Arabidopsis thaliana: one gene and its partners. The protein of the gene in region 3 binds, or shares a complex with, the protein of the main gene of each other region. Each region holds a gene or a part of one and is shown on either strand. Other genes may lie near its edges.

Region 1 (3,755 bases), on a different chromosome or scaffold from region 3:
TACCATTATACCTGCTGACTCAAGTCCAGATTTGAAGCCCTCACAACAATTAGCACTAAATTGAGGAGAAATTTCCCAGAGTATTAGATGTTCCCATTCTTGCTGGTCTAGAGGGAAAACTTCCATTGTTAATTGAGACTGACAGAGAGATGAATTATCGTCTTTTAAGTCCTGCTTCAACAGTTCACCCATGATACATGAATCCCTTCCTAGCTTGGTAAACTCTCTCGATTCTGATGTAGTATCCCTTACTATGCCAGATTTTACCAGCTGTGAACGCTCTCTGATTGGTAAGGGAACATCCAGCTGAATTTGATCAGTTTTTTTCCCATGAGTGTCAATCCTACCATGGCTCTTCAGGAGTACCTCCTCATCGTCTTCGATAAGCTCAGAAATATCCATAGATATGTATTTGTCTGTACCAAAGAAGGCTATGATGTAAGAGTCTCATATGATAATTGTTTTCATAGAACTTTCTCAGCTATTCTAGTTACATTAAAAGAAGTGATGAATTACAAACAGAAAAGAACAATGCAGAGAGATAACGAGAGAAACAGAGAAAATAATGTATATCATTTCAGAAGCACCAAATATACATATCTACTAAATTCTTGCCAAGAAAAGACAGAGCCACATACAAAAAACTTCTCATGCTTTCGACACCTAATGGCTTTTAGAATTGAACGGGAGATACTGAAAATCTTGAGAAATCATTGTTGTTGTAGATTTTAACATCCCAATGGAAAGCACAAAAAATTCAAAGGCTTTTGAGAATAAACAAAATTAGGAAGCCGTTGCAGATCACATACCTCTATAAGTGATACATCTAATTTCTCTCTTCTGCCGTTTCTTCTGTGGCTCTTGTATAGCAAATATCTCAGAGAATTGTAAGATGACCATACCATCATCTTCAAGATATAACGTAGGCAGCGGGGTGACACGTTTCTCATCCAAAGTAGCTTCTGATAATCCAACCACCAACTCCTGAACGTTTCAATGAGATCACTAACAGAACAAAATCATTCCACAACAAAAAAAGATGTTATCTGAGACACCGAAATCATTCTTGCTGACCTCCTGGACATCTCCTGTGTCCATCTGATTCTTATTTCCCAAGATGCTAGCCTCCTTTTCATGCTTTACGGGCTTTTCCTCCTTCAAGACAACTGCGAAAATAATGTTTAGTGTCTCATAATCACTAACACAAAAGGAATCTAAGAAAAGTTCCAAGAGTTCTGATCTCTAGTATTTATGACGCACTGGACTCCAACTTAACAAGAGATTATTTTCCCGAGCTAAACAAGTATAAGTGTTGAGAAAACTAAACCAATCTGAGATTAATGAAATGACAAAACAAAAGTAGAGAATAGAGTGTGCTAATCGTTTTGTTCAAGAAACGGAAATTTCAAAAGCAAACCTGGTTCCCTCTCTTCTGAATCAAAAGATTTCTCAACTGGTACATGTTCCTTCTCTTGTCCTCCTTGTTCATCATAATCTTCGTCGTCAAACACAGAAGCTCTGGAATTTAAACCACTCAAAGCAAATGCAGCTGATAAGTACTCTCTTTTTGGTAGTAGGTGATCTTCCTCAGTAACTACTTGAAGCTCAGGCCCATCATACTCTTCATCATTGCTCCCATAATCTACACGACATATCATCACAAGTCAGTGAAGCTGATGACCGGGAATTGGTAGTGGCAAATAGTTTCAGTTTGTAACTGCTATGGGTGGGACTTGTTGCGTATATCAAAATCTCAAACATAAAAACCTTCTATTTAATTAACTCAAAACGCTGAGCAATAAATTATCCCACAATAAGTAGATTATGACTAGAGCAAAACTAGGAGAATGCAATACACTAATGAAGAAACCATGTAAGAAACTGCAAATATAACCTGCGGAAGTCTCGTTGTCGTTGGACTCAGACATAATAAAACCCTCGAATGCAAAGAGTGGCGTGACAATTTTGCTTCCCAAATAGCAAAGGAACTACTGAAAAGAATCAGGAGCAAGAACAAATCCACGACTCAACGAAAACCTACAAGGGAAACATACCACCATCAAATTTTCCGGTACAATTAGGGAATAACAACGTTCATACCCAAGTACCAATTTTCGTCAAATTTTGTTGTTTAGTAAGGAACCAAGAACAAAACCCTCGTTGATATCTAACCGAGACGACGACATTCAACGTTATGTGGGATTGGCGGTTTCCTAATTGAGAGTATGTACACATTTAGCCGGAGGAAGTGAAGCGGAGCTCAATCGGGTGATTGGAAGATACAACGGAAAGAAGAAATCGTCTGAGGGATCAAAGAGGCGGGTATTAACATCGGAGTGGTAATTTATAGGGAAAAGTTTATAACCCGCCCCGATTCTGATTTAGTTGTCCCGGGTCCCATTTTTTTTTTTGCACTTCAAAGATTATGTTTATTAATGGTCCACAGAATACAGCCCAATAAAAGCCCATTTAGTTACATATCCCGGGTCCAATAAAGTAAATAATTAGTCAAAAATTATATAATTAAGTAATTAATAATTTTGATGGAAATTTGGCAAGACAAGTAAATAAATAAGAGTAAAAGTGATTTTCTCGCATATTACTCTTCTTCTAGATTTTGGCGCTTTTTTAAAATTTACGTTAGAAATACTAAATAAAACAAACAAAACCTATGCCCTGTTCGTTTTCCTGTCGCTGGATCCAGCGACAGCGACCAACGACCAGCGACAGCAACCAGCGACAACATATATTGTTCGATTGTCTGTCGCTGGACTCAGCGACCAATTACATCAACAATCGCTAATAATTGTCGTTGTGTTGTTCGTTTGACTGTCGCTATAAACAGTCGCTATATTTTTTTTTAAAATTAATTATTTTTGGTACTAATTTATATTTTAAAATCAAAATGTAAATCATATATATCATACACCATGAGAAAAATAAATTAATAGATTTATTTATTTTAGTTTTATCAAATTTAATTTGACTATAATTAGTTTATGTTATTTGAATTTAATTTATTTTAACTTAATTTAATAAGAATTATTTTAATTAAACTAGAACTCAAACCTTTCTTGATATCGCAGAGAAAAATATTATAAATTTATTTATATAATAATTTCTTTAAAACAAATCTAACTCCAAATGATGCATATTCTAAATTTCGTAGTTATTCAATAGTATATATATAACTAACCGGAAAAAATAACTGTAAATATTTTGACAGAAAATTACAATATAGGAAGGTTGCAATAAAAGACACAAGCGAGAAAAAACAACCATCAATATTTTTTACGGAAAGTTGCGATTAAAAGACACAACCGTTCAGAGTGCAAAAAGACATTTATTTTAAGTTTAATTTAATTTAATTCTGTTTAATTTAATTATTTTTAATTATTCTTTAATTTATATTTTTTGATCGCTAAATTGTTCGTTTGCATGTCGTTGGATCCAGCGACTAAAACCAGCGACTAATCGCTGAAATCAGCGACTGATCGCTAAAAATTTCAGCGACCAAAAATTGCGGTCGCTGGTCGCTGGCGATTGTCGTTACTTTTGATCGCTATGCAAACAAACAACTTTTGGTCGTTGTCGCTGGTTTCAGTCGTCAGCGACAGGCAAACGAACACAGACAAGCAAACGAACACAGGCAAACGAACAGGACCCTAATTTACCAAAATGAAACAAAATATAATTATCCATGTCCAAAAAGAAAAAGAAGAACAATAATTGTCATATGACAAAATTAAAGGATA
Region 2 (3,755 bases), 1.1 Mb from region 3:
TGCCAGGAGTCTATATATACTGATATCAGAGTGGTGGGCTAATAGACGAAAAACTAAATCATAAGTATGGAATCTGAAAACTAGGGGTGTTAGTTAAAGGAACTGTGATAGGATTCAGTTCTCGTAAACTCTTAAGAGGCTTGATTAACGAGAGAAGTAAGTCTCTTATCTATCGCCCAGTGTCCAAAGCAAAATCCTACATTAATCCACAAGGCCCCAACTCAATAACCTAGCTTTCCTTTCTAACCTCGAGCTCTCAACTAATTGACATAACATAATCTTAATTCTGATACAGTGATATGTTTCACACCCCATAAACATCACGAAGCAAAACACATGTCGACCAAAGAAAATATACTTACCTCAGACCACTTGACTTGGTTTGGAAATATAGCAATGATACAAGACTAAACTCCTTCCACACTGGTCCCTGGCTCCCACTCATGAGACATGAAACTGAAACTAACATTAAGTTATGTAACAAGAATCTCATGAGAAAGACATCATATCAATTGCCTAAAAGATAGGTTAGAAATTCTCATTCTTTCAGTCACAAAATCATAATCATAACATAGGCCTGTATAAAGAAAGGTTACAAATCACAAGATTAATAGTACGCTACACAGACTGTAATGAATCACTTATTTTACAACTGATTGAGGTCTACTGGGTTCTCCATACACTGTCTCAAAATGAACTCCGCTCTTCTTCTTTTGTCATCTCTATCCTCCTCACGCACAAAGGATATGGGTCTATCTTCACCCTTCATCTGTAGACTTAGATCCAAAGGTTGTCCGAGAAATTTCTTCTCGGTTCTGAGCTTAGAAAGAGCAACAGGTTTATTCTTCTTCCATTCAGTGTGAGCTTCACTAGAAAACCCATCTCTTGCAGCCTCCATAGCAGGAGCAAATGCCTCTATCACTGATAAGCCATCTCTATTCAATGATTCGACTTTCTCCCCGGACGATACAGAACGCAGTTCACTCTCATCATCTCTCATTTCTTCTTTCACACCATCCATATCTCCCCACACAGGATTCCTTGAGGAGATTTTACAAACAAGTTTCCTCTGCAAACTCAACAAAGCTCTCTCAGCCTTTCGTCTCTGCCTCGCTTGTTCAATCTTATCTCCCCTTGGATCTGATACTCTTTCGATCCACATAGGGGTTTCCTTATAAGTATGAGGATCAGGAAAAGCTGGTAGCCACAAAGGAATATGTTTCCCAGGTGGAGTTTCACCAATTTCAACAAAGCTTGGGATCATCTTCCTACTCCTATCACTTATAGCTACAGGAAAACTTGGCAATGGCTGCGAGAAAGGGACTTCTTCACTCGAATTAACGAAATCGATAATCTCCCTAAGTTTAATCGAACGACCTAATGAACAACTCTCAGACGAAATTCCTTGTTCGCCATTGTTATCAGTCAAATCATCCAAAGCGAGAATGATATCGAACACGTTACACTGACTCCTACCAGTTAGATTAGCGAAGGAAGTAGCGGTTTTACCTAGCTGAAGAATGTACTGGAGTGCGAATCCAGATAGAGATTCGAGAGCTGGATCCTTGAAATTCTCGTACCCAACGCTCTCGCAGACCTGAGCTACTGCAGCTTTAGCGGCTGCGTGGCTAAACTCGTAGGACTCGGAGCAGCCAGAGGAAGATGCGGCATCGTTCCTATCACCTTCTTGAGCTCTCTCTGTGTTCATTGCTCTAATTTGTTTCAAAAAGCTATCTAATCCCTGAAATTAGGGTTTTCTCGTCGGTAAGACCACATGGACCGCCGGTTTAAAGAGAATCGAAGAAATTTGCCTCCGTCAACGGAAAAGACCTAACGTCGACGAAGCACCGGGAAATATGAAGAGAGAAAGAGAGACAGAGAGAAATGCGTCTTGAGAATCCTGCCATCTCTCGCTTATATAGAGCTCCAACCCCAAAATTAACTACCAACTTTTTTTTTTTTTTTTAGACCAAAATTTTGGTTTAAAATTAAACAAATGTAAATTGTAGTAATCATAACCCAAAAAATTATTGGAAAATTTTATAAGAAATTGGCGTGGCTGATTTTGTTGAAAATAAGTTTTTCTGCGGTATTTCGTAAAAATTTATGAAGCTATTTTAGAAATTCGGATGAGTGATTCTGTTGAAAATGAGTTCTCCGCGATATTTCATTACATTGTTTTGAAAATTTTCCAAACATAACGAAATATCGCGGGAGAACTCTTGACAACTTCCCGAGTTTCGTTACATTAAACTATTTTAGAAACTCTTGTGGCTCGATTTGTTGAAAATGAGTTCTTTCCCGATACCGCGGAGATTCATAACCTAGTTGTTTTAGTGACAACTTCTCGATAATGACAGCCTTACACAGTCTCAAGTTCTATATCAGTCTAATTGCGATTATGGTAAGAACATTAAGTGGAGTAAGATAACGAGGATGTTGACTTTGAATTACAAAACCTCTTACAAAAGTTATAAAGACAAATCATACAACTACATATATTTTAGTACACTCTTGACATGACAAATAGTATTTGAATACGATCACAATGCCGAATCAAGCCAGCTGCAATAACTCTTCACGTTTAATGTCGAACACCTTCACCAAAGCATCTTCCACGACCTGTAATTTTTTCACAAATATTTTCACTCATGTTCGTGTGGGAAACAAGAGAACCAAACAAAAATATAGCTGCAAATATATATATACCTTATCCGGGGTTGATGCACCTGATGTCACACCGATTGTTATTGGTCCCTTTGGGAGAAAGTTTTCCTTCTCGACCAGTTCTCCATACTATCAATGTAAAATAGAAAAAATCAGTGAATGCAGTTTGGTAAGGAGTAAGTTAGTTTTGAAATGCGCTTACGTGGAGCTTATAGGCTATTTTATTCCCAGGTCCTATCCGTTTCTCACTATCGATCCAGTAAGATGGGATTCCCCGTGCCTCTGAGATTTCCTGAAGGTGAGAGGTGTTACTTGAATTCCATCCGCCAACCACTAGCATGAGGTCAATCTTCTCTTCCACTAGCTCATAGATTGCGTCTTGTCGCTCCTGAAGAGATTATAGTATTGATGAATAAACACTTCCTCAAGTGTAAAACTTGTCTAGATGCATGGTTTTTGAGGTATGGGAATTTTACTTGAGTAGCGTCGCATATTGTGTTGAAGCTGATGAAATGTCCGCTTACATTTTCCACTCCATACTTGCGCATCATTGTTGTCTCGAGTAATCTTCCTGTGGGGTTTTTGGCATGAGACTCAAACTAAGGTGTTTTTGTTTCCAAGGATAAAAGACGATTGTCATGTAAAAAAACGGTAGAGTAACTAACCTATCTCCTCTGTTTCTCCCTTTAGCATCGTTGTTTGGTTTGCAATACCAACTTTGACAAGGTCATTGTCGGGATCGAAACCCTTCGAAATTGCGTATTTGAATTTCTACAACGCCAACATAGAGATTAGAAAAACCAGAATGATACAAAGAATTAGCAAAATAAGCTTACATACCTCCATGAACTCCTCTTTTGTGGAGCTAGATCCATCGTATTGGCCACCGAGAATGTAATCACAAACGTAATTTGCCTGTGCTCAGTAATAAGGTACCCCATCAGTAACACATCTTGCAAAATTCTATGGATATCCAAAGTTTGACAATATAAAAGTCACACCTCTTTCATGTTCTTTACAATGATGTACTTTCCTGCAAAAGACGCAGTTGCAATCGTCTCTTCATGATTATATTTACCATGGATTAC
Region 3 (3,755 bases):
TCTCATACATTGGAGGTCTGAGGGACAACAATACCAGAAGCATGAACTTAGAGGAAGAAGCATTTACCTCACGCAAAGCTTTTGAAAGATCTTCCATTGTCAATACCAAACGCTTATCCTGTTAAGGAAACATTAATATTCATGTCATCATCCAAAACATATTTGTTGCAGTCTTGCAGAGGGAAAAAAAACAAAAGGGAGTCAGATGTTACCTTTTGCTGTTTTTTGTCTTTCACAACTGGTGCTGGTCTAGCCTTGCAATGCCTGTATATAATTGACAATTTTTATTATTCAGGAGCTTATATCAATGCTTTTAGCTTCTGGGAAAATCTAGCGTAGACATCTTTTCATCTCATCTACTCAGAATGGGCAGTGTCTTCTCTTTCTCAATTACAAGTCAAATATGAAAAAGGGTATGATAATTCGTTGTGAAGAGAATGAAAACTTACTGAAGGGCGTCACTGGCAACATCTGCAACAAACTTTTGTGTAGCCACAGCAACTAGCCTTATCCTGTCAAACAAGTAAACAAAAAAACAGAATATTGGCAAGAATAGATACAGGAAAAGATTATGACAGGAGTGAAAAACTCAAAAACTAAAATATACCAATATTCAGCACTCAATTTGATAGAAAGAGAAGAATCCCCTCATTATTCTACGCATTCAAACTGAACTCTGAAGTTTACATTCAAATTGCCAATCTTTTTCAGTGCTAGTCCAACATAGACTTCTTTATCATACCATTTTACAGGAATGTTAAACAGGGCAAAACCTTAATCCAAAATGATTTAAACCAAGCCATTGATCTAACTACTGGTCACCCATTCTAAGACCCAACAATGATTCCATTCAATATCAACTTATCTGCTCTTTCATTGTAAGTATCAGATATAACTTGTCGGAAATACCTACAATCGTACGTCGGGGCACTGAAATCCACTCTTAGCCAAGTAGTGCTCCACTAAATCATCAGGAATCTGAAAGAAAAATAAAAATCCAGAACTCAATCAATACCCAAATTTCAGTCATGTAGAGCCGAGAAAAAGTTGTAACTAGTACAAAGGAAAGTATACAGTAGGAGTATAATCCATCAGAGAAGCAAGGAACTCTGTAAGAGCAGCATCATCTTCATGCTTTGCCTCACCAGATTGTTGGCCGTGATTCATCTCTCCCACCACCAGAGTACTGAAGCGAAGCAACAACTGTAAGTAAAGAAAGGTTTTCAAAATCAAACATTAATAAAGAACCTCTGAACTAGTATCTACCTCAAATTAGAAACTTGTACGAAACCTAAGAAAGAATGTCATGACTCATGACACAATTATACCAAAATAAGTTTTACGAGAATTTTGACTACTGAAACTTTCCAGCTCAATTTACTAATTCTCTGTTCCAGATTTGTCTTCTCGTATGACATTATTGTTTCTAAGTAACGAACTATTCCTGATTTGTGTTGCAAAAGACCACACCAAGTTTTGAATTGAACGACGTGAAGTAAACTAAGAGGGCTCTGATTCATCAAGAAACAGCATTCATGAGCAAAATTCGATACCACCCAAGAGAAAATTCAACCGAAAAAAAGACAAAATTGAGCTGAAATTGAAACCAGAGACATAGAGGAAAAATTCAATAAAGTAAGCGATAATGCGAACCTAAACGAAGCAGCAACGGAAGAGAATTGAGCTGAGACGAGGCAAATCAATGGTAAAGAAGAGAAGTTTCGACGGATTTCGGGCGGGTAGAAGAAAGGATCGGAGATCGACTAGTGAGTCTCCGTTGAAACCCTAATCCTCCGACTGGTCCAACTCAGAGCCATCTCCGCCGGTCAGATTTTTAAGAGTTGAGAAAGAATCGTTAGATAGACTAATGGGCCTATTGATTTAAACTATGGCCCAAACTTAAGGAAGTATTCTTCACATATGGCCCAAATTTAGGTTTTTTTTTTTCCTTTTTCACAATCCATTTTTTATTCTCTTCCCATAAAATCAATATTTGAGTTTAGTGTATCTAAGAATATCGAAACGAAATTGTCAATCAATAAAATCTCAAAAATGTAACTTTAGTGTATAGTGTTGTACAATCTGCTGTATAGTGAGCTTTAATTTGATGGGAGACAAAGAATATGACAATGAAAGCACTAACTCCATCTAGACGGAATATTTAATGACCAACAAAAGCAGTTTTTGTTTTTCTCATTTGTCAACTCATAGTCATTAGAAAAAGACTTAAGGGTAGTTTTATATATTCTACGAGAAGCAGGTGGTAAATTCAGTGAAGAAGGATTGGACTAATTCTCTCCATAAAAACATAAAAGAGAGATATGTATATGATGATACTTTATTTCACGGGATTCCATTTGTTTGTTTGTTTTTGGTTAATGGTGGATTCCATTTGTAGGTAAATTAATGGATAAATACCAGATAAATAAATCCATATTTTCTCAAATATGCTTCTTAGACGCTACGTATTATGTATTTACATTTAAATCATTTTCCAAAAGCTTTTTTTTTTTTGTATAAAACCAAAATAAGAGACAGTTTATTCAAGAAGCTAGTTTACCTAGTTATATCAAAGGGGCCAATCAGAATCTAATGTAAACTATATCCAAGTCTCATTGTCATGGAAAAAGGTTTGATTTAATTTGACGATTTTTAAAAAACGGTTGTTCAATCGCGGCATAGGAATATTTTTGGCTATAGGCTAGGACAAGCTATATGGATTGATTTGAACTTTCTCTTTAATTCTTTTCATCAAATTATGGAATATTATATTAAAACCTAGATATTTTAAAGAAAAAGAAAAATTGTATGCAAAAATTTAATTTACTTTTGGAATACGGATTCTAAATTTTTTTGTTGTTTAAAATAGTAAAGAAAAATAAAATATATCAATGAAATCAGGAAGAGGCAAAACATGGTGGCCAATCAAATCGGTTTACTTCAGGCGATCGACGAGCATTTCTAACGAAGCAATGTTCATGTGATCTCAATGGAATATCGACTGTTGTCAATGTGATCGTAACCATACTTTTAAGTTCTGCACTGTATTCTAATTTCTACACAACTATGTTATCTCAATTTTTAACTACTTCCTTCATTATTTACCTCCAGCAAGTGAAAATTAAAAGACCGATAGACAAACAAAAATACATAATCTAGTAAAACAAGTACTAAAAATCTAACATGGTAGAAGAGAAATTGTGTATGTAGGTTCTTTGCAAATAAATCGTGTGTATACTGTATAGACTGATAGACTATTCCTTGTTTGGGGAAAAATGGCTATACACTTATAATATTTTAGAAGTGTCACAAAATAGAAAACTATTTTAAAAAGTAACTTTCTTGGATCGAAAAAATAATAATATGATATATGGTAGGGAAATTTTTACTAATTTTATTAAATTTAATAGGAAGTATCATAAGCACCCATATAGATATGCATAAGTTTGAAACAGAAAATTTGTAGGTACGGTTAGTCGGCTATAAGAGTGGCTTCAATTTGCTTGATGGATTTTTTGTTTTGATAAAATGGTTTGTAGATGGACTTTATTAATTTCAAACATACATTACACTAGTTAAGATAACACCACTTAATCAAGTAATATTTGTATAATTGTAGTTAACTGAAAGTCGTGACTCATGTGTTGTTGTAGGGTTGATTACTACTTTGGCTTTAGATTTCCTCTTTTTTAATCGTACTTTAGAAAATTTGTGGTGCATAATTAAGAAAATTTGTAGTGCATAGTTCCTTATCT

Evidence for each region.
Region 1: TAFII15 (region 3) and HAF2 share a complex: the UniProt entries of both Arabidopsis thaliana proteins name them as parts of the TFIID complex.
Region 2: TAFII15 (region 3) and TAF8 share a complex: the UniProt entries of both Arabidopsis thaliana proteins name them as parts of the TFIID complex.

What each region holds. Positions count from the first base shown.
Region 1 is NC_003074.8:6,573,625-6,577,379, forward strand, and holds the start of HAF2 (histone acetyltransferase of the TAFII250 family 2), read right to left. Parts: upstream 1,990-3,755; 5' UTR 1,929-1,989; coding exon 1,895-1,928; intron 1,659-1,894; coding exon of another isoform or gene 1,643-1,658; coding exon 1,418-1,642; intron 1,167-1,417; coding exon 1,075-1,166; intron 985-1,074; coding exon 810-984; intron 417-809; coding exon 1-416. UniProt on the Arabidopsis thaliana protein: TAFs are components of the transcription factor IID (TFIID) complex that is essential for mediating regulation of RNA polymerase transcription. Core scaffold of the TFIID complex.
Region 2 is NC_003075.7:16,426,125-16,429,879, forward strand, and holds TAF8 (TBP-associated factor 8), read right to left. Parts: upstream 1,887-3,755; 5' UTR 1,709-1,886; coding exon 647-1,708; 3' UTR 515-646; downstream 1-514. Other genes in the region: HDR (4-hydroxy-3-methylbut-2-enyl diphosphate reductase), read right to left, coding at 2,557-2,622, 2,710-2,796, 2,870-3,055, 3,144-3,238, 3,333-3,438, 3,508-3,582, 3,669-3,755. UniProt on the Arabidopsis thaliana protein: TAFs are components of the transcription factor IID (TFIID) complex that is essential for mediating regulation of RNA polymerase transcription.
Region 3 is NC_003075.7:15,354,538-15,358,292, forward strand, and holds the start of TAFII15 (TBP-associated factor II 15), read right to left. Parts: upstream 1,895-3,755; 5' UTR 1,654-1,894; intron 1,634-1,653; exon of another isoform or gene 1,267-1,633; intron 1,204-1,266; exon of another isoform or gene 1,187-1,203; 5' UTR 1,168-1,186; coding exon 1,075-1,167; intron 979-1,074; coding exon 914-978; intron 513-913; coding exon 450-512; intron 265-449; coding exon 213-264; intron 119-212; coding exon 68-118; intron 1-67. UniProt on the Arabidopsis thaliana protein: TAFs are components of the transcription factor IID (TFIID) complex that is essential for mediating regulation of RNA polymerase transcription.